Oryctolagus cuniculus: one gene and its partners. The protein of the gene in region 1 purifies or fractionates together with the protein of each later gene. This does not show direct contact. Links are inferred from orthologs where the notes say so. Each region holds a gene or a part of one and is shown in the gene's direction. Other genes may lie near its edges.

What was found.
Region 2: the proteins of RUVBL2 (region 1) and POLR2B purify together in Homo sapiens (affinity purification with mass spectrometry; 3 studies listed by BioGRID and IntAct, with this or other methods). This does not show direct contact. The link is inferred for Oryctolagus cuniculus from reciprocal best matches to the Homo sapiens genes RUVBL2 and POLR2B.
Region 3: the proteins of RUVBL2 (region 1) and DKC1 purify together in Homo sapiens (affinity purification with mass spectrometry; 5 studies listed by BioGRID and IntAct, counting the BioPlex papers as one, with this or other methods). This does not show direct contact. The link is inferred for Oryctolagus cuniculus from reciprocal best matches to the Homo sapiens genes RUVBL2 and DKC1.
Region 4: the proteins of RUVBL2 (region 1) and EPC2 purify together in Homo sapiens (co-immunoprecipitation; 4 studies listed by BioGRID and IntAct, counting the BioPlex papers as one, with this or other methods). This does not show direct contact. The link is inferred for Oryctolagus cuniculus from reciprocal best matches to the Homo sapiens genes RUVBL2 and EPC2.
Region 5: the proteins of RUVBL2 (region 1) and ACTR6 purify together in Homo sapiens (co-immunoprecipitation; 7 studies listed by BioGRID and IntAct, counting the BioPlex papers as one, with this or other methods). This does not show direct contact. The link is inferred for Oryctolagus cuniculus from reciprocal best matches to the Homo sapiens genes RUVBL2 and ACTR6.
Region 6: the proteins of RUVBL2 (region 1) and ZNHIT2 purify together in Homo sapiens (affinity purification with mass spectrometry; 5 studies listed by BioGRID and IntAct, counting the BioPlex papers as one, with this or other methods). This does not show direct contact. The link is inferred for Oryctolagus cuniculus from reciprocal best matches to the Homo sapiens genes RUVBL2 and ZNHIT2.
Region 7: the proteins of RUVBL2 (region 1) and NOPCHAP1 purify together in Homo sapiens (affinity purification with mass spectrometry; 4 studies listed by BioGRID and IntAct, with this or other methods). This does not show direct contact. The link is inferred for Oryctolagus cuniculus from reciprocal best matches to the Homo sapiens genes RUVBL2 and NOPCHAP1.

Annotation. Positions count from the first base shown.
Region 1 is NC_091449.1:8,259,068-8,261,925, reverse strand, and holds part of RUVBL2 (ruvB-like 2), read left to right. Parts: intron 1-1,139; coding exon 1,140-1,246; intron 1,247-1,351; coding exon 1,352-1,445; intron 1,446-1,655; coding exon 1,656-1,779; intron 1,780-1,935; coding exon 1,936-2,030; intron 2,031-2,105; coding exon 2,106-2,224; intron 2,225-2,858. UniProt on the Homo sapiens protein: Possesses single-stranded DNA-stimulated ATPase and ATP-dependent DNA helicase (5' to 3') activity; hexamerization is thought to be critical for ATP hydrolysis and adjacent subunits in the ring-like structure contribute to the ATPase activity.
Region 2 is NC_091439.1:107,684,745-107,688,855, reverse strand, and holds the start of POLR2B (DNA-directed RNA polymerase II subunit RPB2), read left to right. Parts: upstream 1-1,311; 5' UTR 1,312-1,482; coding exon 1,483-1,501; intron 1,502-1,888; exon of another isoform or gene 1,889-2,087; intron 2,088-4,111. Other genes in the region: NOA1 (nitric oxide-associated protein 1), read right to left, coding at 1-613. UniProt on the Homo sapiens protein: Catalytic core component of RNA polymerase II (Pol II), a DNA-dependent RNA polymerase which synthesizes mRNA precursors and many functional non-coding RNAs using the four ribonucleoside triphosphates as substrates.
Region 3 is NC_091453.1:133,384,611-133,388,110, forward strand, and holds part of DKC1 (H/ACA ribonucleoprotein complex subunit DKC1), read left to right. Parts: intron 1-349; coding exon 350-441; intron 442-598; coding exon 599-783; intron 784-1,217; coding exon 1,218-1,282; intron 1,283-1,607; coding exon 1,608-1,734; intron 1,735-1,915; coding exon 1,916-2,046; intron 2,047-2,142; exon of another isoform or gene 2,143-2,272; intron 2,273-2,501; coding exon 2,502-2,645; intron 2,646-3,500.
Region 4 is NC_091434.1:93,465,265-93,468,764, reverse strand, and holds part of EPC2 (enhancer of polycomb homolog 2), read left to right. Parts: intron 1-2,005; coding exon 2,006-2,154; intron 2,155-2,917; coding exon 2,918-3,050; intron 3,051-3,500. UniProt on the Homo sapiens protein: May play a role in transcription or DNA repair.
Region 5 is NC_091442.1:103,127,366-103,130,865, forward strand, and holds part of ACTR6 (actin-related protein 6), read left to right. Parts: intron 1-202; coding exon 203-271; intron 272-1,135; coding exon 1,136-1,259; intron 1,260-3,209; coding exon 3,210-3,345; intron 3,346-3,441; coding exon 3,442-3,498; intron 3,499-3,500. UniProt on the Homo sapiens protein: Required for formation and/or maintenance of proper nucleolar structure and function. Plays a dual role in the regulation of ribosomal DNA (rDNA) transcription.
Region 6 is NC_091432.1:6,442,677-6,445,768, forward strand, and holds ZNHIT2 (zinc finger HIT domain-containing protein 2), read left to right. Parts: upstream 1-1,380; 5' UTR 1,381-1,414; coding exon 1,415-2,551; 3' UTR 2,552-2,592; downstream 2,593-3,092. Other genes in the region: delta(14)-sterol reductase TM7SF2, read right to left, coding at 2,745-2,905, 2,999-3,092. UniProt on the Homo sapiens protein: May act as a bridging factor mediating the interaction between the R2TP/Prefoldin-like (R2TP/PFDL) complex and U5 small nuclear ribonucleoprotein (U5 snRNP).
Region 7 is NC_091442.1:107,698,928-107,702,427, forward strand, and holds part of NOPCHAP1 (NOP protein chaperone 1), read left to right. Parts: intron 1-1,389; coding exon 1,390-1,526; intron 1,527-3,500. UniProt on the Homo sapiens protein: Client-loading PAQosome/R2TP complex cofactor that selects NOP58 to promote box C/D small nucleolar ribonucleoprotein (snoRNP) assembly. Acts as a bridge between NOP58 and the R2TP complex via RUVBL1:RUVBL2.

The DNA of each region.
Region 1 (2,858 bases):
AAGGAAACCCTGACCCCACCAGGCAGGCCCTGCTGCTTGTCCCCTCCCCGGAGCCCCTGGCTGGTGGGTTCTGGTCCTTGCACGTCAGTGGGACCCCAGCGGGGGGCCTTCGGCGTCTCCTTTCGCTCTGTGTGGCGTTTTGGAGGTTCTTCTGTGTGTGTCAGAGCCACTGATAGAATGCGGCTGACCCCCCTCCCCTGACGCCCCTCTTGTTTTTCTGTTTTCTGCTTGTTGTTAGTGCAAATAGATTGAAAAATGGCCTTCTAAATTAGTTCCATCTCTTGGCAACTAAGTTTTGAATTTTAAACATGTGGTAAAATATTTAAATTGGGGGCAAGCTCTTCCCAAGGTACTTATTTAAGTTATATGCTTTGCCACACAGGAAATCCCTGGCTGTGTCCCCCCGGCAGGCCCGGTCAGGATCCGCTACTGGGGATGTAACTGAGAAACGTGAACTGTGCTTGTCTCGCAGGGTGGGGCCTGGAAGTTGTGTCTCCTTGTTTCTGCTTAGCTGGGTTTTCCCAATTTTTTAACATGGGTATAAAAGAGGAACGTTGGAGTGTGACCCTGCTGGCCAGTTTGTGGGACCTTTCAGATTTAATTATTTGAAAGGTAGTGTTAGGGAAAGAGAATCTTTAATCTGCTGGTTCACTCTCCAGATGGCTGCAATGGTTGGGGCTTGGTCAGGCTGAAGCCAGGAGCCAAGAGCTTCATCCAGGTCGCCCACATGAGTACAGGGACCATCTTCCACTGCTTTCCCAGGCCATCAGTGGGGAGCTGGATCAGAAGTGGAGCAGCTGGGACTCAAACCTGTACCAATAAGGGATGCCAGTGTCACAGGCGGAGGCTTAACCCACTATGCCACAGTGCTGGCCCCTCTCTTAACAGGCTCTTTGAGGTGTGAGTGTGAACAGCTCTGTGACGGACAGGTAGAACTCTGCACAGGCTGAGAGTGTGCACCGTGGCCGGCGCTGGCCTGTGCTGTGGCGGGGAACAGACCCCTCACCCCCAGGAACTCCCCGTGTCGCCTGTTCTGAGCTGTGTCAGCAGAGGCCGGCACAGGGCTGCAGGCTCATCGGGGAGCCTTGGGCAGCACCGGGCCCTCTCTGAGCCCCTTCCTGGCTCATCTCCCCTCACAGGGCTCCAAGGTGGGCAAGCTGACCCTCAAGACCACAGAGATGGAGACCATCTACGACCTGGGCACCAAGATGATCGAGTCCTTGACCAAGGACAAGGTCCAGGCCGGGTGAGCAGGCAGGCTGTGCAGGTGGCCTGGGTGGCCCGGGTGGCCTGGGCGGCAGGGACTCAGACCCCCCTCCATTCTTCCTCCGCCCTCCCTCCCCACCCACAGGGACGTGATCACCATCGACAAGGCCACGGGCAAGATCTCCAAGCTGGGCCGCTCCTTCACACGCGCTCGGGACTACGACGCCATGGGCTCCCAGGTGCGCCAGGACGCTGGGGACACCCTCGACCCCGGCCGTTGGATGTTCTGTCGCCTCTGTGACCACAGGGCCTGGGTCCTCCTGTCCCTGTGCTCCTGGGTCTTGTAACCCGGGACGCTGCCCCTCACTCTGAGTGCCCTTGCGTGCCCCTTGGCTTGACCTCCCCTCCTGGGCCTGGGGTTTCTGAACGACCACTCTCTGACCCCCCAGACCAAGTTCGTGCAGTGCCCAGATGGGGAGCTCCAGAAACGCAAGGAGGTCGTGCACACCGTGTCCCTGCACGAGATCGACGTCATCAACTCCCGCACCCAGGGCTTCCTGGCTCTCTTCTCAGGTGAGGGTCCAGGCCGGGCAGCCCCCGACTCCCCCCGGCCTGGGGACATGGCGGAGACCCAGCTCGCCGCCGCTGGGATCTGCTTCCTCTGTGCCCACCCTGCGGTCTCGGCCTCGTCGCCTCCCTGACTCCCCGACGCCGCCCTGGCTCCTGCAGGTGACACCGGGGAGATCAAGTCAGAAGTCCGCGAGCAGATCAACGCCAAGGTGGCCGAGTGGCGGGAGGAGGGCAAGGCGGAGATCATCCCTGGGGTGAGCACCGGGGCGGGAGGGGCGGGGGGCCTGGCCGGGAGGGCGTGCCCTTGAACTCGAGCCCCCGCGCCCCAGGTGCTGTTCATCGATGAGGTCCACATGCTGGACATCGAGAGCTTCTCCTTCCTCAACCGCGCCCTGGAGAGCGACATGGCGCCTGTGCTCATCATGGCCACCAACCGTGGGATCACCCGGTGAGCTGGCACGGGGTCACGTGGGGCCCCGTGGGCTGCGGGCTCCCAGCACTGCTGGCTCCGACAGGAAGCCGTGCCTTTCCCTGGAGCAAGGCAGGTGGGTGACTGGGTGTAGGCAGCTCGCCCCGGCCCCAGGAAGCTCTCGGGGGTGCTGTGGACGTCTTAATCCTGAGGGAAGCACAGTGACCTCTGTCCGACCCCGCACAAACCACTGAGCCCCGGCTGCCTGGGCAGCGCGTCCTCTGTGTGATCGTGGCCTCAAGCTGCCCTGGCAAAATCCCTGGCATCTGACCGGCACCGTGCCCTGATGAGTCCCGGGAACCTGTGCCCTGGGTGTGGCCTCCGTGCCCCACCCCTGCACACGCGTCAGCCATCAGCCTGTGAGGAGGGGGAGGGCCAGGAGCCCGCATTGCCTGGGATGTGGAGCCTGCACCAGCGCTCCCACCGGGCCCCGCCCTGCTGGGACGCTGAGCCGTCACTGTGCAGCAGGGGGCCATCAGTGAGCCGGGAACTGGGCCCGGCCAGGCGGGGCGCTGGGCAGTTTTGCCTGGCTTTTGTCTGACACTGTTCCTGGAAGACCTTCCTGGACCCTCAAAAGAAGCCCCGCAGGGCGCGGTCGTCTCCGCCAGCTTCA
Region 2 (4,111 bases), on another chromosome or scaffold:
GCAGGTAGAGCACCAGCGCGGGCCCGGGCCGCCGCAGCGCCGCGCTCACCTGCTGCAGGTACTGCGCGCGGCTCACGCGCAGCCGCAGGGCGCGCCGGTGGTGCACCAGCAGCCAGCAGCGCTGGCACACGGCGCGCGCCAGCTGGCCGTCCTGCGCGGCGCGGGCGAACTTCTCGCTGGGCAGGTAGCCGGGCACGCCGGGGTCCCGGCAGTGGAGCTCCGCCCCGCAGCCCGAGCAGGGCAGGCCGCTGGGCGGCACCGCCGGGTCCGGGCGGCCCGCGGCCGGGGGCGCGCGGAGGCTGGCCCGCGCCTGCCGCCGCTCCGCCCGGCGCCGCGCCTGCTCCTCCTGCTCCTGCTCCCGCTCCCGCAGCGCCCGCAGCAGCTCCTCAGGCGTCGGCGGGGGCTCCGGCTCCGGGGTGTACTCGGGGAACAGGAAACGCTCCTCGGTGTCGTCCCCGGGCGCGGCGGGGCCTTGAGGGAGCGCCCGCCGCAGGCCCGACGGGGGCTGGGAGGCGGCGGCGGCCGCGCATCCCGTCCGCAGCAGCCGCACCGCAGGCGCGGACCACCGCACCACGGGGCCCAGCAGCCTCCCCGCTAGGCGTGCGGGCAGCATGGGGATCGCGGCCCGCCGCGAGGGGGCGGAGCCACCACCGAGCACGCGCAGTGGGGCCCCAGGCGCCCGTTCTGCCCCAAACCCCGGAGGTGCGGCTTCCTTCCACCTCGAGATCCCGCGAGTTATCGCGATGAAAGCGTAGCGGGAAAGCCGCGGTATCAGCCTCCCTTGAGGGCACAGGTTCGAGTCCCGGCTGCTGCACTTGCAACCCGGCTCTCTGCTGGGGCCTCGGGAAGGCAGCAGAAGATGGCCCAAGTCCTTGAGGCCCCTGCACCCACGTCGGGGACCGGGAGGAAGTTCCTGGCTTCAGCTCCGCGGTTGTTGCGGCCACCTGGGGGAGTGAACTAGCGGTCGGAGGACCTCTCTGCCTCGTTGTAAATCTGCCTCTCAAATAAATAAATAAATCTTTCTTCAAGCTTTCTCAAGGCGCTACGGCCAGCACAAGTCGCACTTAATCCCTTTTAGTTTTGTGGCTTCCTGGTCTTTGGAGTGCAAACAATACAGCCTTAAACCTGCGAGCTCACGCCACGGCCAGAACCGCTAACAAATTCACTTGGATTTTTTTCAGGCGGGGTTTGTTCAACGTGAAGCAGCTGTAGAGCCGCCCCTCCGCCTCGGACTGGTCGCGCCCCGGCTCAGCCGCGCCCGAGCGACCCCGAGCCCAGCCCGCCCTATGCTTCAACTGGCGCAGGCGCAGATCCCACCTCGGCGACGGTGGGGCGGGCCTTCGGGGACGCAGAGAATTGTGGGAACACCGGAACCGGAAGTTGCTTCGTCTCTGCCTGCGGCCCTGTGGCGGCTGCTACGCGGTTTTCTGTCTCAGTGGTTTTTCTTTTTGAGGGTTAGGATCTCCTGGACCGTTTGCCAACATGTACGACGCGGACGAGGGTAGGTGACCATGCAACGCAGACTCCGCGGCGGGAAAATGGGGGAGCTGGACGGCTTTGCGTCCGCCGCCCGGAGACCCCCGCGGTGTACCCCCGCCACCCCCGGGCCGCGGTCCGAGCTGGGCGTGCGGGAAGTGGCGGCGCGGGGGATGCGCGCGTGCAGGCTCCTGGCCGGCTGTGTTCGTCCCGTGGTGGAGTGGCGTGCGGAACCGTAGGCAGATGGCGTTGTTCCGGCTCGGGGGCGTCCCGACGGTCCTCGGGTCCCCGGGCCACCGATGGACGGAGTGGCGCTGGCCATCCGTTAGGTTGTGTGCTGGGCCCTGGGAGCACGGCGGCCGCGGGTGGCCCTCCTCCGTGCAGTCCTAAACCTCGGGGAATTGTCTCGAAGGTGTCCTTGGAACTGACTGCGCCCCAGAGGGACGCGCGGCCGCCAGAGAGGTGTTCTGGCTCCCAGTCCCGTAGCCCCCCTGGCATCCCACCCGCTCGCCTCCGCTGCCTCTCGGAGGAAGCAGAAGCGCAGGCTTAGCGTCTCAGCGCCGGGGCTCATCGGACCCACCAGCTGTCCGGTTTGAACCGCGTCCACGCAGGTAGCTGCTGGTACAGATTCTCCTGCTCCAAGGTTTCTTTACGTACGTGTGAGTGAGCGTAAATGGGATTGTGTGGTTCCCCGATTTTCAGACAAAAAGCACCATTCGTGCTCTCCTGTATTTCTATTTCTTACATAGTATTATGTAGTGGGCTTTCCTGCCAGTGTGTGGAGTCCATCGTCACTGCTCGCTTGTTTAGATGTAGTGCGACTCAGCCAGTCTCTTAGGGATGGGCATTTGCATCATTCTCGTCTTTTCCTGGGAGGGCAGTGGAGGACGGCCCAGTGCCTGGGCTCCTGCATCCGCGCGGGAGACCCGTAAGAGGCTCCTGGCCCCGGGCCTGCCCAGCTCCGGCTGCTGCAGCCATTGGGGGAGTGAACCAGCGGATGGAAGCCCTTTCTCTTTCTGGAACTGCCTTTTAAGTAAATAAAAAATATTAAAAAAAAAATCGCTAAATAGAGAATTGTCAGGTCAAACGGTATATTCATTTAACATTTTGCAGGATGGTGCCAAGTGACCACTGTGCTATTAACTGCGAATTTACATTCTCATTAGCAACGTATAAAGTACCTGTGGAAGAGAAGAGTGGTCCATGTTCCATTCCTGCCTGTTCTGAAGTCTGTTAGATACGCCCTCATCAATTAGGCTGCTCCTTTCGGATGTTGCCATGTGAAAGTGTCAGATCTCTCTTGGCACCTGCAAAGAAGTTAAACTCTGCTCAGTTGTTTCTTTCCTGGGAATATCTGACCTTTCTCCTTCCATGGGCGACCGGGGTTCTCAGAAGAGTTTGTGGCCTCTCAGGTTTTCAGCACATTCTAATCTGATCTCAGTGCTGCTTCATTAAGATGCCCTTCCCACTGATACAGCCGGTAGCACTGTGTAAGCCTCAGGCAGGCCCTGCGGTATTTAGCATCATGGGTGAGTTCCTTTTGGCAGCCCATCTCCTCAGCCTTAGCACCGTCACTTGATTCTTACACCTATCAGACTTTGTCCCTTCTCATTCACTCCTGCTGTTCGCGTTTTCCGTGGCTTCAGTTACTGTGTATGTGGATGACGTCTCAATACATACGCACACATTCCCAGCTCAGATGTCCTGCGTCTCTAACTGAAGTGTCTCTGGGCTTCTGTAAATTGTCACTGCCCAGGCTGAGCTCACCATGTTTTTTATGCACCCCCGCTCCCATCATCATCTGCACTTCCAAAGCCATCGGCTTCTGGGTTGTCTGTCTTAGAGCATGGTACCACCCTTCTCTTTTGTGGGAACCAGAAACCTGGGCGTCATGTATTTTTATTTAAAAGTATTTTGATTAACACATAATATTTGTACATTGTGTGCAGTGCCAAGCAGTGTTTCAACACATATATGTAGTGTAAACTGATAGTCAAGCAGTTAGCATTTCCATGTCCTTATGCTTAGAACCTATCAGATCCTCTGTCCTGTTTATTTAATTTTTTTTTTTTTTTTAACAGGCAGAGTGGACCGTGAGAGAGACAGAGAGAAAGGTCTACCTTTTGCCGATGGTTCACCCTCCAATGGCTGCCGCGGCTGGCGCGCTGCGGCCGGCGCACCGCGCTGATCCAATGGCAGGAGCCAGGTGCTTCTCCTGGTCTCCCATGGGGTGCAGGGCCCAAGGACTTGGGCCATCCTCCACTGCACTCCCTGGCCACAGCAGAGAGCTGGTCTGGAGGAGGGGCAACTGGGACAGAATCCGGCGCCCCGACCAGGACTAGAACCCGGTGTGCCGGCGCCGCAAGGCGGAGGATTAGCCTAGTGAGCCACGGCGGCGCCGGCCCAGTGATAGACTTTCTACATGAGTGACATTAACTCAGTCAGTTGAGCCATCACTGCTGCCTTCCAGGATGTGCATTAGTAGGAAGCTGGAGTTAGGGGTCAGGGCCAGGGACTGAGCCCAGGTACTCTGATGTAGGATGCAGGTGTTCTAACCAGCATCTTACCCCAGGCCACACACCTGCCCCTCGTTGAGTTCTTTATGTAGTATACAATATATAATTTTTAAAAAAGA
Region 3 (3,500 bases), on another chromosome or scaffold:
AAACTAAACTGGTGATGAAAGTTGGGCTTGATCATCATTTTGGCTACTTTTGTCCCTCAGAAAATCAAAACTGTTGCATGTTTTATTCATAATCTTGCAGTGAAGCCAGTCTTCTTCATAGAGAATAATGAGTTCAACTTACCAATATTCTAGTTAGTGTGATTCTTACTAATTTGGGTGGTGTATAAGGAGCAGAACAGTTTCACAGCAGATACTGGAAATACAGTAGCAAAAATGCAAATTCAGGAATGTGAAATGTTAGCATATCATGGTTGATGATGGTGCTGGCTGTTACATGTGTAAATGGTTTATCATTAACACTATTTTGTATTGTATTGCTGCTTTCTAGAATTTTGACAAACTAAATGTCAGGACAACACATTATACACCTCTTCCTTGTGGCTCAAATCCTCTGAAGAGGGAGATTGGGGACTATATTAGGTAAGTGTGTTGGGAGCAAGCACTGTTGATAGAAACCTACAGTGGCTTTGTCTTGAATGTATAACCTGTTCGCGTGGTGAATTTTTTTAACTCTTCAGGTTTGTTGTTTTATTGCAGCATGAGAGCAAATGGTACATTAATTTTCTGTCCATTCTAGGACAGGTTTCATTAATCTTGACAAGCCCTCCAACCCCTCTTCCCATGAGGTGGTAGCCTGGATCCGACGAATCCTTCGGGTGGAGAAGACAGGACATAGCGGTACTCTGGATCCCAAGGTGACTGGCTGTTTAATCGTGTGCATAGAACGAGCCACTCGCTTGGTGAAATCACAGCAGAGTGCAGGTATGTGAAGACAGAAGGCAGGTTTACCTCCACATTTTGCCTCTTGGAAATTTTCTTCATTAAGGGGAAAAAACCTACCCTGAAGCATGGATATGCTTTTTGTTTCTGTGTACCTTCTGTCCTCTGCCAGATCTTGGTGGGTCTACATTTGGAGTTCATAGAGGCATGTGTTGATAAATTCCGTTCATGCCACTGAGGCAGAATTCTTTCCGAGTCCAACTCTTGTCTTGTTCCAGGTTCCTTTCACGTTATGTTTCTGTGAAATCTGCACCAAGACACTGAATAATGTTGAGCTCCCAATGTCGTCGTTCCATTCCTTTCCTTTCTTTTCAAAATGTCTGCTTTTCCTGCTGTGCAAGATGGCAGCTATGGAGCATATAACAAATACAGAAAACTGAGTGGCCACACCTGACTACTCTTTTGTCATTTTTCAGGCAAAGAGTATGTGGGAATTGTTCGGCTGCACAATGCTATTGAAGGGGGTACCCAGCTTTCTAGGGTAAGTCTCTCACTTTAGGGAAGGGAAGTTGGGTCTCAGCCCTTGAAGCCTTTGGAAACAGCCACCTTTCGTGGCTGACCATGCTCCTGCCCTTTTCAATGGGCTACCCCATCCAGCCACATCCCTTCTGAGGAGCTGCTTCCCATCAGCCCTGAGCCGTCCCAGGGGTTGAAGAACGAAGCAGAAATGGAAAGAAATGGCTTTTTAGTTATTTTGAAGAAAACCTTTTATGTTTTGTATCCTTAAGCTCCCCAAATATGCCCTCTCATCTTATTTAAGAGGCCATGTAGGGAGAGTGCTTGTTTCTATTTGTGCTTATTCTCAGGCCCTAGAAACTCTGACGGGTGCCCTCTTCCAGCGACCCCCACTTATTGCTGCAGTGAAGAGGCAGCTCCGAGTGAGGACCATCTATGAGAGCAAAATGATCGAATATGATCCGGAAAGAAGATTAGGTGGGTTGTTGGGTCTTTGAGGAACTGAGTTATCACAGGCCGCATTGGGTAGGAACTCATTCTGGAAGGTTCTACGGTAATCTTTGAAAATACTATGTGGTGAGGTCATATCATCTCTAGGCTTGATGACTTAGAAGCAGACTAACTCTGGAAAATACTCTGTATTGTGTTTATGTCTTAGGCATATTTTGGGTGAGTTGCGAGGCTGGCACCTACATTCGGACACTGTGTGTGCACCTTGGTTTGTTATTGGGAGTTGGCGGTCAGATGCAAGAACTTCGAAGAGTTCGTTCTGGAGTCATGAGTGAAAAGGTGTGTCTTCATGGAGCTAGAAGTTTTAGAGCTGGTTCTGGGTATCTTGCAGCCCCTGGTGGAACTCTGCCTACTTCACACCCTGGGAAAGGCCACTTCCAAAGTGTTGAGTTCAGTTCAGGGCATCTTCCCTGTTCTGTTAATTAAACTTTGGTACACTAAAAGGGGTTTGGAGATAGAACTGGATAGAAAGTATCACTATTCGTTTATCTCCCAGCCTACAGCAGTGCTTTCATAAAGTGAATCTATAAACAGTTACAGGTGTCCAGAAGGGAGGTGAGTATGAAGACGCTCAGGGTTCTTCATGAGCTTGCACTAGTGGAAGAGATGCATGGTATATGAGTGTCACAAGTGGTATCTTAATTATGTGGCCAAATGCCCGCTGCTGTTTGTGGACCTGTGAACTGTTGGAGATCTGAAGACACTGAGTTTTTTCCTATGTACCTGCTTTTCAGGACCACATGGTGACAATGCACGATGTGCTTGATGCTCAGTGGCTGTATGACAACCATAAGGACGAAAGCTACCTGCGCCGAGTTGTTTACCCTTTGGAAAAGCTGCTGACATCTCATAAACGGCTGGTTATGAAAGACAGTGCAGTAAGTTCTGCGATGGGAATGCGCATTTGAACAGAAACTGACTCCAAAGATAGGATATGGTCTTTTCTTCTTGGAAACTCTATGTGCCTAAGAAACCTTGACTGACTTAAATTGTTCTAAGACAAAGTTAGTTTAATGGGGAAAAGTTGAGATTAGAGAGATTCAGAGCTGTAACAAAGTTATTTATCCTGTAGAAGTTTGAATAAAATATTTTGTTAGTGTAAATAAAACATAGTTTGAGGCTGTGAAAGCGAAACTTCACTGAGGTTATCAACCTCTTTTTTTTTTTTTTTTTTTAAAGATTATTTTCACTCAGGTGGCTGTAATAGCCAGAGCTGAGGCAGATTAAGGCCAGCAGCCAGGACCTTCCTGCAAGTCTCCCATGAGTGCAGGGCCCCAAGCACTGAGGCCATCCTTCACTGCTTTGCCAGGTGCATTAGCAGGGATCTAAATGGGAAGTGGAGCAGCTGGGACTTGAAGCAGCGCCCATAAGAGATGTAGATGTTGTAGGCAGTGACTTTACCCACTATACTACAGTGCCAGCCCTACAAGTCCTTTTCTTAACATATTCACTAACTTGCCTTTTACTTGAGAGTATTCCTATTAGCAATGCAAGTAAATATTTTTCAGTTGGGGTTTCTTTTGTAGTGGTCATTTTAAGAATAAGTTTCTTACTTTCCAAGTAGTCCAGAATTTGTTAAGTATGATCAAAGAATGTAGTTTATAAATTTTGTTAAAGACTAGGCAGGCATGAAAATTCTCTAAGGAGAGAGTAGAATATGGGTAGCAAGAGATCTAGATGAGTGAAGATGGTATAGCATAAGGCAGATAGATTCCAAAGTGCTGTTGAACTGA
Region 4 (3,500 bases), on another chromosome or scaffold:
AGTAGCCACTTTAATATTTGCTGTGTTGATGTGAAATTGTCTTAGATTGGAAAGTGCTGTTGCTGCCTGTTTATCAAAATCAGATTGCTTACAACTAAACTTTCAGTTTTGCTTGATGCCACATAGTACTGAGTGGGAGGGGGTCAGACGAATTTGCTTTTGGTTTGATAAAAGGATGACTTATTAAGTTAGCATTTTAAAATATTCTGTATGTAGTACCATGAGGGACTTTATTTAGTTTATCTTCAGTAGATGATTTTTTTCAAATGTAAGATACACAAAAGAAAAAAACGCAAAACGAAGTTTTTCCTCAGTATTTCTCCTTTGTAGCCTCCAATGTAAACCTCTGGCATTCTTCAGGTTCTTTTTAATGCCATATTAAATTATTAACTCAAAGACAGAAGGATTGTTTAAATGAACGTCTGAGCACATAAATTGAGGTGTGGTAGTGGTCTGTTTTTGAACCAGTAGTTCTGTGCCTGCTATATTGTTAAGTACTCGCAGATGTTTGATTTTAAAAAAGATAGTTTGTATTAATAGTAATTTTTATAGTCATATGGATGCTGCTAATTACAGCTGAACCTTCAATTAATAGGCTTTCACTTACAGTTAGTTGAAGTTCTTTTTTTTTTTTTAAAGATTTATTTATTTATTTGAAAGTCAGAGTTACACAGAGAGAGGAGAGGTAGAGAGAGAGGTCTTCCATCTGATGGTTCACTCCCAAATTGGCCGCAATGGCTGGAGCTGTGCTGATCCAAAGCCAGGAGACAGGAGATTGTTCTGGGTCTCCCATGTGGGTGCAGGGGCCAAGGAGTTGGGCCATCTTCCACTGCTTTCCCAGGCCATAGCAGAGAGCTGGATCAGAAATGGAGCAGCTGGGTCTCAAACCGGCACCCATATGGGATGCCGGTGCTTCAGGCCAGAGCAGCTGAGTCTCGAACCGGCGCCCACATGGGATGCCGGTGTTTCAGGCCAGGGCAGCCGGGTTTTGAACCAGTGCCCATGTGGGATGCCTGTGCTTCAGGCCAGGGCGTTAACCCACTGTGCCACAGTGCCGGCCCCTGAAGTTATTTCTTATGCTTGAGAATAAGAACTGCTTAACATTATTCTGAAATTCATAATTTTAACTAAATGTCTTTTCTACTCTGCAGTGATGTATTATTATGTTGAAGCCTGATAATCCCATATCTTGAGATGCTTGATAACCTACTTTCAGTTTTTAGGTCAATTTCTGAAGTAAGGCTTTGCATTGCTCATGTTTACATTGTAGAATGTTTAACCTTACATTGCCCAGTTGCAGAGCTGGATAAAGGGAGGATTTTGGCTATTTTCGGGTACATTGACCTCTGTCGTTCTGATGTAGTAGATTTTTTTCAGGTAAATTTTTTTAACACCTTTCCATTAGAATTATCTTTTCCATGCCATTGCATCTTCTCAACAGCTGGTGAAGTGGTAGTATTCTGAATATTTATCATAAGTTACTTGATTGGCCAGTGCTGCGGCTCAATTGGCTAATCCTCTGCCTGCGGCGCCGGCACCCCGGATTCTAGTCCCAGTTGGGGTGCTGAATTCTGTCCTGGTTGCTCCTCTTCCAGTCCAACTCTCTGCTGTGGCCCGGGAAGGCAGTGTAGGATGGCCCAAGTGTTTGGGCCCTGCACCCACATGGGAGACCAGGAGGAAGCACCTGGCTCCTGACTTCGGATCGACTCAGCACACCCCAAATAGCAGCCATTTGGGGAGTGAACCAACAGAAGGAAGACCTTTCTCTCTGTCTCTCTGACTGTCTAACTCTGCCTGTCAAAAAAAAAAAAAGTTACTTGCTTGTACTTCTGTTTTCAGAGTTAAGTAGGTTCTCTTATATAGTTGCTGTTAGATGATTTTCTAATGTTGCTGCTTTTAACATTTCGTCCTTATTGGATAGATTTGGTTTGGATAAGATTTTGTTGAACGGAGCTAGAAATATGGATAAATGGGTTGTTTATTCTAAAATTATTGTTTTTAATAGAATCGTAAGAACGATGAAGCCTCTTATGAAAAGATGTTGAAACTGAGACGAGAGTTCAGTAGAGCCATAACAATTTTGGAAATGATTAAGAGAAGAGAGAAAACAAAACGAGAATTGTTGCACTTAACCTTAGAAGTTGTGGAGAAAAGGTAACATTGCTACTATTACATACTAGTAGGAGCTTTAACCAAATGATGGGCAAAATATAACCAAAAGATCTTTTTTTTAAAAGTTTATTTTGGCTAAGCTTTATGATAATTAATATTGATTCTCTAACAACTTAAAATTTTTTAAAGACTTGTGGCACTGATTTTTTTTTGCCAGATGAAATTTTTAATTTGAAATACTTTTGCATATTGTATAGATCCTCTAATGCACTTAAGTATTTTTGCTTTTTGGAAGAATCACTGAATTTTATTTAGAAAAGAACTTAGAGATTCTGTTGTTCAGTTCTCTCTATTAAAAATTTCTATTAAAGAAAACTTCAAGTAAATGAAGGTTTGATTTTTGTTTTCTGACTAAGTGGACAAAGTTTTTTGTTTCAGCTCTTCTCGGGATGTGTTTTCTAATGGCATTTTCCTTCATAATTAAAAAAACACTAAACCAGATCTAACAGAATTTTGTGTGATTCCCTAAGCAAGTAATCTAAACATCATTTCTCAATACTTGGTAATATAAAATATGTGTCAAATTCATTTTCTCTGTACCTTACGCATTTTTTAAAGTTGTTTATTTTTTTTTTTTTACTGAATCCCAAATCTATGTTGCTTTACTCTCACACATTTTCTCTTTTAAAAATCTAATTAATGTTTAGCTGTATTTGTTTAGGTGTGTTCTAATTGAGATATCTTTTTTTCCATTATTGTTAAAGTATGCAACTTTGTATTTTTATTTTTATTTTTACTTTTTAAGATATCATTTAGGAGACTATGGTGGTGAAATCCTTAATGAAGTGAAAATCAGCAGGTCAGAAAAAGAGTTATATGCCACTCCAGCAACTCTTCATAATGGAAACCATCACAAAGTCCAAGAATGTAAAACTAAGGTGAATATCCTCTGTGGAAAAGCAAGTATGGTAATATTGATTTCTGCAGTTGTCTGAATACAGTTGGTTAAGGAAAAAAGTAATTAACATTCATTTAGTTCTAATTATTTGCCAAGTGCTTTGCTAAGTGTTTTTATATACATATTGACTCATTAATCTTCACAATAGTCCTTTGAAGTTGGTTTTACCTCTGCGTGACTTCTGTGTTGGAGCTAGTAAGTGGCACCTTCAAGGTTTGAATCCAGGTCTGATACCAAAGTACATCACTTTCCAGTATTCCTTCTGCTTCCCTAGAGAATAAAGATAAATAAAGCTTAGTTGTCATTAACCTTAGCAAATCCTGCGTCATAGTGGCAAGTATCAAACTAAAATTAAAGCTTTCTTTATTGAGACTATTTGAAGTTATTCTTTGTCATCATTGCCAGACCAGCATTTATCAATTGTTATATC
Region 5 (3,500 bases), on another chromosome or scaffold:
TTTTAGTTAATGTTATTTTGTAATTTTTTTGACTTCTAAAGGGAGAAAAATTTGCCAAGTAATTGGTTTAGAATTCATACAGCATTAGGCTGGAAATGGTTACTATAAATAGATAGGAATCAGTGACTTGGAGCTATTAATCTGACTTTAAAAAATTGTTCAAATATTCTTAAATAATCAACTTGATTAAAACATTTTTTAGGGCTACTTGGTGAATTGGGATGTTCAAAGACAAGTTTGGGATTACCTTTTTGGGAAAGAAATGTATCAGGTAACAAATTAGAGTATGTATTCAAATTCTATTTTCATGTGTTACTTGAATGAAAAGTTAGAGCATTTATTTTAATATTTATAAACTTGCAAATACATTTTCAGTACATATTTGAGTTACTTAAATATAGCTTTGCCCAGCTTTGATTTTCTAAACATTTAATACATGCAAATTAATAGAATTTATTTTGAAGTGGATGGAGGTTGAGTGGAGATAGTCCATATGAAACTCAAGGTTAAATTTTACTTGACATTTCATTAGATAATCTCACTACGTAATTTTCATTTTATCAAGCAAATGTTTTTGCTTACATTGAGTGGGTAAATATTATAAGACAACTTCTTACTTTTAGAGTCAATAGTGTGATTATAGCTATACTAAGAATGTTCATGTTTAAATTCTTCAAGAATATATGGGAGAGAATTATGTAAACTTTAAATATATTGAATCTTGCCTTTTTCTTTTTAAACAAAATTACAGCCTCAATACTTGCAGCGGTATTAATTACTTTTATATATGTATCTTTAAACAGTTTGACACTACCATTTAATTATTGCTACTAATAAGAAAGGTAAAGTTGCATAATACTCATTAACTACATAGATTCTTTAAGCTAAGATCACTAAGTAGCTACATGAACTTTGGTGGCTTTTCTGTGTCTTGGGTTGTTTAATTTAATAAATATATTTATTTGAATAAATAATGTATATATATAAATTATAAATGTATGCCCACTTAATAAAACTGTCATAGTAATAAGACATTAGGGTTATTGTTAGGCCTAAGTAATTTTATTTCTATGAAGCAAGTGTTGATGATAATCACTAGAAATTATAAAAGTTTTTTTATTTTTCTGTCTCATAGGTTGATTTTTTAGATACTAACATTATTATCACAGAACCATATTTTAACTTCACTTCAATTCAAGAATCAATGAATGAAATTCTATTTGAAGAATACCAGTTTCAAGCAGTATTGAGAGTAAATGGTGAGTTAAAGTTTACATTGAAATTGAATTAACATGGATATGAGTATGAATAGCGTAAAGAAACTCTTAAAATCCCATAATACAAAGGCAATAAAACAGAATTTTAAAACTTGATGTACTCATGGGGCCAGTGCTGTGGTGTAGTAGATTAATCCTCTACCTGTGGCACCAGCATCCCATATGGGCACTGGTTCTAGTCCTGCTATTCCTCTTCCAATCCAGCTCTCTGCTATGGCCTGGGATAGCAGTAGAAGATGGCCCAAGAGCTTGGGTCCCTGCACCCATGTGGGAGACCTGGAGGAAGATCGTGGCTCCTGGCTTCAAATTGGCCTAACTCCGACCATTGTGGCCATTTGGGGAGTGAACCAGCAGATAGAAGATCTCTCTCTCTAATTACATGGAGAATGCCTTCTATGGAAAAACTACACATGGATTTCTTTTTTTTGTGTGTGTGTGTACCAAAATAAACTTACCTTTTAATTCCATTTTCCATGAACTTTTTAAAGTGCTCTCATGATATTTCTCTCCAGTGAAATTACTGGCCATGTTTCTAATTTCTGAAAGACTTTTCTGAGGTAGTTATCCTTTTTATCATTGATGTGCTTGTTATTATTATTGGTTAAAATAATTTTAAGAGCTCAGTCTGCCAATATGAGGGAAAACAATCTGTAAATGTCATTTAATAGCAAGTTTTATTACAGAATTACATGATTGTATACAGTTAAAACATTCCAATACAAGGAGACTTCAAAGTGATCCTGGAAAATGGAATTAAAAGATAAGGCTCTTTTGGTACAAAACTTTTAAAAGACCATGCATATGAAGGGTCTTCAAAGAGTTAGTGAAAAAATGTATGTTACAGAAAAAAAACTGCCTGATATTTAGCTTACAGATTTTTAAGTATTTCAAGTTCTCTATGCTGTTTACAAAAGTGACTTGTGCTAGTTAAGAGCATAACCTCAAGAAATGTTCTGAAGCAAGGATGATTTTGTTTCCAGGGGACGTTTGGCAATGTCTGGAGACATTTTTGGTTGTCACAGCTGTAATTGTGCTGTAAGCTTCTAGTAAAGGTCACAGATGCTGCTAAATGTCCTATAATACACCAGGACAGTCCCCAACAACAAAGGGTTAACGATCTGATTCAAACTGTCAATGGTTCTGAGGTTGGGAAAACCTGCTGGAAAGCCATACTGCCTAGGTCTGAATCTTGGCTCTGCTACTTTCCCATGACATGATTTTGGGCATATTACTGAACTTCTCTGTGCCTTGGGTTCCTCTTCGTCTGTAAACAGGACTTTTCGTGAGTATTAGAAGAAACAAGTTATGTAGAGTTTAGAATAGAGCCTGAGATATAAATTGCTAATTAAAAAATAGCTTTTTTTGTAATAATTATCATAAGTTTAGAAATGAGGGGCCGGTGCTATGGCACAGTAGGTTAAAGCCCCAGCCTGTAGTGCCGGCATCCCATATATCCCATATGGGTGCCAGTTTGAGTCCTGGCTACTCTACTTCTGATCCAGCTCCCTGCTAATGCACCTGGGAAAGCAGCAGAGGATGGCCCAAGTCCTTGGGCCCCTGTACCCAACATGGGAGATTTGGAAGAAGTTCGTGGCTCCTGTTTGGATCGGCTCAGCTTCAGCCATTGCTGCCTCTCTCTCTCCTTCTCCACCCTCCCCCCCACCGTCTCTACCTTTCTTTGTATATCTTTCAAATAAATAAAAATTTTTAAAAAGATATGAATATTTACTCTTAAAACATGACCAACCAGTGTTTCTTTTTGTATTCCATGCATTATCTGTGATGTTTTGAAGTTTCAGCATTAGAAATACCATGTATCAATTATGAATACCATAAATTAACATTTTTAGTTTGTTCCATCTATTGCTTTAAATTTCTGTTTCCCTTTTGTTTAATGAGTTCTTTTTCTTTTTTCAATCTTTTTGTGAATAGCTGGGGCTCTCAGTGCACACAGGTATTTCCGAGACAATCCTTCTGAATTATGCTGCATCATTGTAGATAGTGGATACTCCTTTACTCACATAGTTCCTTATTGTAGAAGTAAAAAGAAAAAAGAAGCAATTATTCGGTGAGTGCATTTAATTTTTCATTATTTCTTATTTCATATTATTTCTTAGGATGAAATGTGTGATAACTGAGCCAAATTTGAATTCTCCCTTTTTAGGATAAATGTGGGAGGAAAACTCTTAACCAATCATCTAAAGGAGATCATATCTTACAGGT
Region 6 (3,092 bases), on another chromosome or scaffold:
GGAGCTGTCCCCACCAGGAGCGTGAGCAGTCGCCCAGCGCCCTGATGTGCTGGCCCAGGGGATGACTTAGTGCCCTCCCTGCCTGTCCCGGGTGTCTTGGCACTGTGCAGTCACCGCCCCAGCACTGATGATGGCCCAGCAACGCCACCACGCCCAAGCTCCACCTGCCTGTGTCCTTGGCTCCCAGTGTGGAGTCCGCCATGATAATACGTGGAAGACATTTACTGCGAAGTAGAGGCAAGGGGCGGGAGGGGGGGAGCGTGGGTGCAGACGTTAGAAATGCCCCAGCGTGCACTGGGCTAGGCGGGCTGCTGCCGTCTCGCCCTTTCTTCCGCTCAGCCCCGTGCTTCCCAGTGTCCCCTGGCAGCCTGGCTGCTCCTGCAGGGCAGGAACCCATCTCCTCTCCCAAGGCTGCCCAGTTCCCTGCTTAGTGATGAATTCAGGGGCCGGCGCCATGGCATAGTGGGTAAAGCTGCCGCCTGCAGTCCTGGCATCCCCCGTGGGCGCTGGTTCGAGTCCCGGCTGCTCCACTTCCGATCCAGCTCTCTGCTATGGCCTGAGAAAGCAGCCGAAGATGGCCCAAATGCTTGGGCCCCTGTACCCGTGGGAGACCTGGAAGAAGCTCCTGACTCCTGGCTTTGGATCGGCGCAGCTCCGGCTGATGTGGCCCATTAGGGAGTGAACCAGCGGCTGGAAGACCTCTCTCTCTGCCTCTCCTCTCTCTTTGTAACTCTTTCAAATAAATAAATCTTTTAAAAAAATGATTTCAAGCCGGCGCCGTGGCTCAATAGGCTAATCCTCCACCTTGCGGCGCCGGCACACCGGGTTCTAGCCCCGGTTGGGGCGCCGGATTCTGTCCCGGTTGCCCCTCTTCCAGGCCAGCTCTCTGCTATGGCCAGGGAGTGCAGTGGAGGATAGCCCAGGTGCTTGGGCCCTGCACCCCATGGGAGACCAGGAAAAGCACCTGGATCCTGGCTCCTGCCATCGGATCAGCGCGGTGCGCCAGCTGCAGCGGCGGCCATTGGAGGGTGATCCAACGGCAAAAGGAAGACCTTTCTCTCTCTCTCTCTCTCTCTCTCACTGTCCACTCTGCCTGTCAAAAAATAAAAAAAAAAATAAAATAAAAAAATAAAAAAAATAAAAAAAAATAAAAAATGATTTCAGCCGGCACTGCTCAGTTTTGCGGTGCGACCACCAGGGGGCGGGCTGGCACAGACGGGACACTCGTGGCGCCCTAGCGCTGCAAAGGGGGCGGGGCTTCCGAGTGTGGGCGGAAGTTGCCGAGAGCCCTTGTCAGCCTGGCATGGACTAACGCTCGGAAGGCTCCGCGACGAAGCGGAAGTAACCGAGGAGGCGCCGGAAGTTGGCCCGCGGCGCGCGTGACGTCCGCGGCGCGCATGCGCTGCCAGTTGCCATGGAGCCGGCCGGGCCGTGCGGCTTCTGCCCGGTTGGGGAGACGCGGGCCGCGCGCTACACCTGCCCGCGCTGCAATGCGCCCTACTGCTCGCTGCGCTGCTATCGGGCGCACGGGCCCTGCGCCGAGGACTTCTACCGCGACCAGGTGCTGGGGGAGCTTCGCGGCCGCAGCGCCTCGCCCAGCCGCCTGGCCAGCGCCCTGCGCCGGCTGCGTGAGCAACGCGAGACCGAGGACGAGCCCGAGGTAGCAGGCCTCAGCCCGGGCCCCGCACCCGGCGGACTTTCGGGACTCTGGGAGCGGCTGGCACCTGCCGAGAAAGCGGCCTTCGAGCGGCTGCTGAGCCGCGGCGAGGCCGGGCGGCTGCTGCCTCCCTGGCGGCCGTGGTGGTGGGGGCGCGGGGACGGACCCCGGCTCGTGGAGGCGGTGGGGGACGCCGCGGAGCCCGAGCCGGATCTGGAGCCGGAGCCCGCCCGCCCGCCCGCCGTGCCCGCCCGCATCCCCGCGCTGGCCAGCCTGAGCCGCAGCCCGGCCTCGCCGCTCGTGCGCTTCCAGCTGCCCAACGTGCTGTTCGCCTACGCGCACGCCCTGGCCCTGTACCACGGCGGCGGCGACGACGCGCTGCTCCCCGACTTCTGCGCCACGCTGCTCGGCGTTTCCGGAGCGCTGGGCGCCCAGCGAGTCTTCGCCTCTAGCGAGGAGGCCCTGCAGGCCGCAGCCCACGTCCTGGAAGCCGGCGAGCACCCGCCCGGGCCCCTGGGGACGCGGGGCGCCATGCGAGAGGCCGGCCGCATCCTGCTGGGCCGGGGCCCCGCCGACCCCAAAGGCTACACGCTGGCCGCGCTGGGGCACCTGGCTCGGACCCTCGGCCGTGCCCGGAAACAGACCGCGGCTGGCGAAGACCGAGATCGCCTCTACCGCGCCCGGAAAAAGTGCCAGTACCTGCTGGCCTGGGCCAACGAGAACGAGGCGGCCCTCGGGCCCCTGGCTGTGGACTGCGCCAGGGCGCACGGCGCGCACGCGGCGGCCGCGGAGGAGGTGGCCGCCCTGGCCGGGGAGCTGGAGCGGCTGTGGGGCGGCCCTGTGCCCCCCGCCCCACCTGCCCCAGGGGCTCTCATTGAAGAGCTCCCTGGCTGACCTGGGGGGCTTGGCCTCAATAAAGCGGAGATTGGCCCTGCCCGGAGTGACAGCTCAGTTGTCCCGCCCAGCCCCGGGCTCTCGGGCCCACGGCGTGTCCCAGCCTTGCCCTGCCCCAGAATGGAACGGAAGCGGGCGGCGACTTGGAGCCGTTTATGCAGGGGAGGAGGGGTCTCCGCCGGGGCGCGGGCGCTCAGTAGACGTAGGGCACGATGCGGTGCGGCACGCGCCGGCAGTACTCCAGCCACGCGCGGCCGTACTTCTGCAGGCACTGCCGCTCGTCGCGGGCCTCCCGGTGCACCAGCAGCGCCGTGAAGTAGATGATGTAGAAGTAGGGCAGCAGGTGCGACAGCCCTGCGGGGAGGGGCCGCAAGGGTCTCCACGCTGTCCGGCCGGGCGGGGGAGGCCCAGGGCCAGCGGGGGCCGCCCCTCCGCCGGGGCACTCACCGCAGGGCAGGGACCAGGCCAGGGCCATGAGGAGGTCCCCGAGGTAGTTGGGGTGGCGGACCATCCCCCACCACCCAGACACCAGCAGCCTCCG
Region 7 (3,500 bases), on another chromosome or scaffold:
ATTTTATTTGGGGAAAAACCCACAGGGGCAGTGATTTCAGGATCTGGATCCGGGTGCTCAGATGTCCTCAGAGATTTGCTGCCTTGGACCTGCTAGCTCTGCTTTCCTCAGTGTTGGCTTATCTAGAGCAGATCAAGATTTTCCTGGTTGGCAGGTGGGCTGGTTATCAGCAGCTCCAGGACTGTGCCCGGTCACTGATCAGAAAGAACAGCTGCTGGGGCCCACGGTGTTGTGCGGCAGGTTAAGCTGCTGATAGTGATGATACCTACATCCTGTATCTGGGTGCCGGTGCAAGTCCTGGCAGAGTTCAGGCCACTCTGCTTCCAATGCAGCTTCCTGTCGATGCACCTGGGAAGGTGCTGGGAGATGGCCCAAGTACTCCACATGGGAGACTCGGATGGAGTTCCTGGCCCAGACCTGGGCTGCTGCGGCCATCTGGGGAGTGCACTAGCAGATAGAAAGATGTCTCTCTCTCTCTGTAACTCTGCCTTTCAAATAAATAAATAAATCTCTATTTTTAATTAAAAAAATGAGAAGTCATGTTATGTTATCAGAAGAAGGGGAGAGATGGGGCCAGGCAGAAACAGCCACTACTTCATTAACTGAGCAGTGGTCACTCAACGGTAGGAAAGTGGAATTGGGATTTTGTTAGTGCTCCATTCTCACCAGAAGGCCCCAGAGCTGGTGTACTTATCTGTTAAGTCATGCTTCCTCCTGATTCTGTACATATTTCATGATTGCCAGCCTTCTAGGAGTGTGCAGTTTATGAGAAACAAAAGAACAGTGGGGAAATAATTACACAATTTTATAGTCCTATTGCTTTGAGAGGAGAGAGAGACAAGGAGGGAGGGAGGTCTTCCATCTGCTGGTTCATTGTGCCTGCCACAATGCTGCTCCCAAAGATGGAGATTTTCAAAATGGAAGAAACTTGAAAGATTGATTATTTTTATTAACTATTCAATTGAAAACTTTTCCAGAGAATCCTGGATTTTAGAATTTAATAACATATGGCCGGCGCCGTGGCTCACTTGGCTAATCCTCCACCTGCAGCACCAGCACTCCAGGTTCTAGTCCCAGTTGAGGTGCCGGATTCTGTCCCGGTTGCTCCTCTTCCAGTCTAGCTCTCTGCTGTGGCCCGGGAGGGCAGTGGAGGATGGCCCAAGTGCTTGGGCCCTGCACCTGCATGGGAGACCAGGAGGAAGCATCTGGCTCCTGGCTTCAGATCGGCGCAGCACTGGCCGTAGTGGCCATTTGGGGGGTGAACCAACGGAAGGAAGACCTTTCTCTCTGTCTCTCTCTCTCTCTGTGTAACTCTGCCTGTCCAAAAAAAAAAAAAAAAAAAAAAATTTAATAACATAAGCATTGCTATATTGTATTTTCTTCCCATAGTGTTGGAGCAAGTCCAGAGCTTTCTCCCGCAGATGGCCCAGGCAAATGAAAAGCTAAGAAAAGAAATGGCAGCTGCACCACCTGGTCGTTTCAACATTGAAAATATTGATGGGACTCTGGGAAAAGTTATACAAATGGTAACTATGTGTCATTTTCATCTCATACAGGTCTCCTAAAAACAAGGGAGAGATTTTCCATTTTATTTCCAAGTGTTGGTTTTTCTTTTTGTTGGAGTCTGAAATCCTCCATCTGCTAGTTCACTCCCCAAATGGCCACAGTGTCTGGGGCTGGGCCATGCAGGCTCGGGGAACCTGAAACTCTGGTCAGGTCTCCCACTTCGGTGGAGGGGCCCAAGCACTTGAGCCATCGTCTGCTGCTTTCCCAGGTGCATTAATAGGGAGCTGGATCGGAAGTGGAGCAGCTGGGACTGGAACCAGCACCCCTATGGGATGCTGATGTTGTAGGCCTAACATTCTGCACCACAGTGCTGGCCCCATGTTGTTATTATTTTAACTTCAGGGGCAGAGGGGTGAGGAGGGATAAGGGGGACAGGACAGAGGACTTCCATCTGCTAGTTCATTCCCTGAATACCCACAACATCCAGGACTGCACCATGCTGGAGCCAGGAACTCATTCCAGGTCTCCCATTTGAGTGGCAGAGACCCAACTACTTAAGTTATCACCTGCTGCTTCCCAGGGTTTGTATTAGCAGAAAACTGGGGTGGTGGACTGGAGCCAGGATCCAAACCCAGGTACCCTGAAATGGAATGCAGGCATCTCAGACACTGGTGAGGCCAAGTGCTCACTCTATATTTCTTATCATGAAGCACTGATTTACTAAATGTCCTAACTGAATTTAGTTATTTTTTTTTTTAACGAAAAGAGATGATCATAGTCTGATTCATTGTGCAAAAACAATGTGTCTAAGGGAACAATAAACCATGGTTAAAATTGTCACTCAGTTTCTACTGATATCTTCTTTTTATACTGGAATTCCTTTTTTTTTTTTTTTTTTTAAGATTTTATTTATTTGAGAGGCAGAGTTACAGAAAGAGAGAGGGAGAGACAGAGAGAAAGGTCTTCCGCCTGCTGGTTCACTCCCCAAATGGCAGGAGTTGAGCCAGGCCAAAGCCAGGAGCCAGGTGTGTCTCCCTGGGCTCCCATGTGGGTGCAGGGGCCCAAGGACTTGGGCCATCCTCCACTGCTTTCCTAGGCCATAAACAGAGAGCTGGGTCGGAAGAGGAGCAGGCAGGACATGAACTGGAGCCCATATGGGATGCCGGCACCGCACTCAGAGGCTTAGCCTCGTGAGCCACAGCGCTGGCCCCGGGGCATCCCTTTCTAACACTTGTGTCTGGATGGACAGAGCCGACATCATTGTCAGTAAGCTCATTCATCAGCTCTATCTGCAGAATAAGTCCCAAATCCGACCACTGCGCACAGGCTCCATGGCCGGGTCCCTTGGCCCGAGTGATTACAGTCTCTCCTTTGGACTGTTCCAACAGTTTCCTGACGGGGCTTCCTGCGTTGTCCACTTCCTCCCTGGCGCCTGTTCTCACAGCCTGTGTGCACAGCCTGGGGCTTCCCGTCACATGATGATGAGTTGGAACTCATCACCCCTTCCGAGGGCTCTCACGATGCTGCTTTCCGTGCTCGCCCTGGCCTTGCCTCCTTCCCAGTGTCCCCGCCGACTGCGGCCGTTTTCCCTCCTGCTTTCTGGTGTTGCTGAATGCGTTCGCCCTCGCTGCTGATCGAGACTCTCTGTTCCCTTGGCCTCATCAAGAGGCCTTCCCTCCTGGCCCTGCCAGGGTCTTCCCCTGCTCTGTTTTCTCTGTACTTCTCACACTACACTGTGCTTTACAGGGATATTTCAGTTTGTGGAAAAGCAGAATTAGAAGACGAGTTTACTTTGGTGTAAAAAATTTTTTGTCTTTGATTGGTTGATTTATTTGAAAGGCGGAGTGACAAGGAGAAGGAGAGACAGAGAAAGATCTTCCATCTGCAACAGCCAGGGCTGGGCCAGCCCGAAGCCAGGAGCCCAGAGCTCTGTCTTGTTCTAGGTGGATGGCAGGGACCCAAGTACTTGGGCCATCATCCACTGCCTTCCCAGG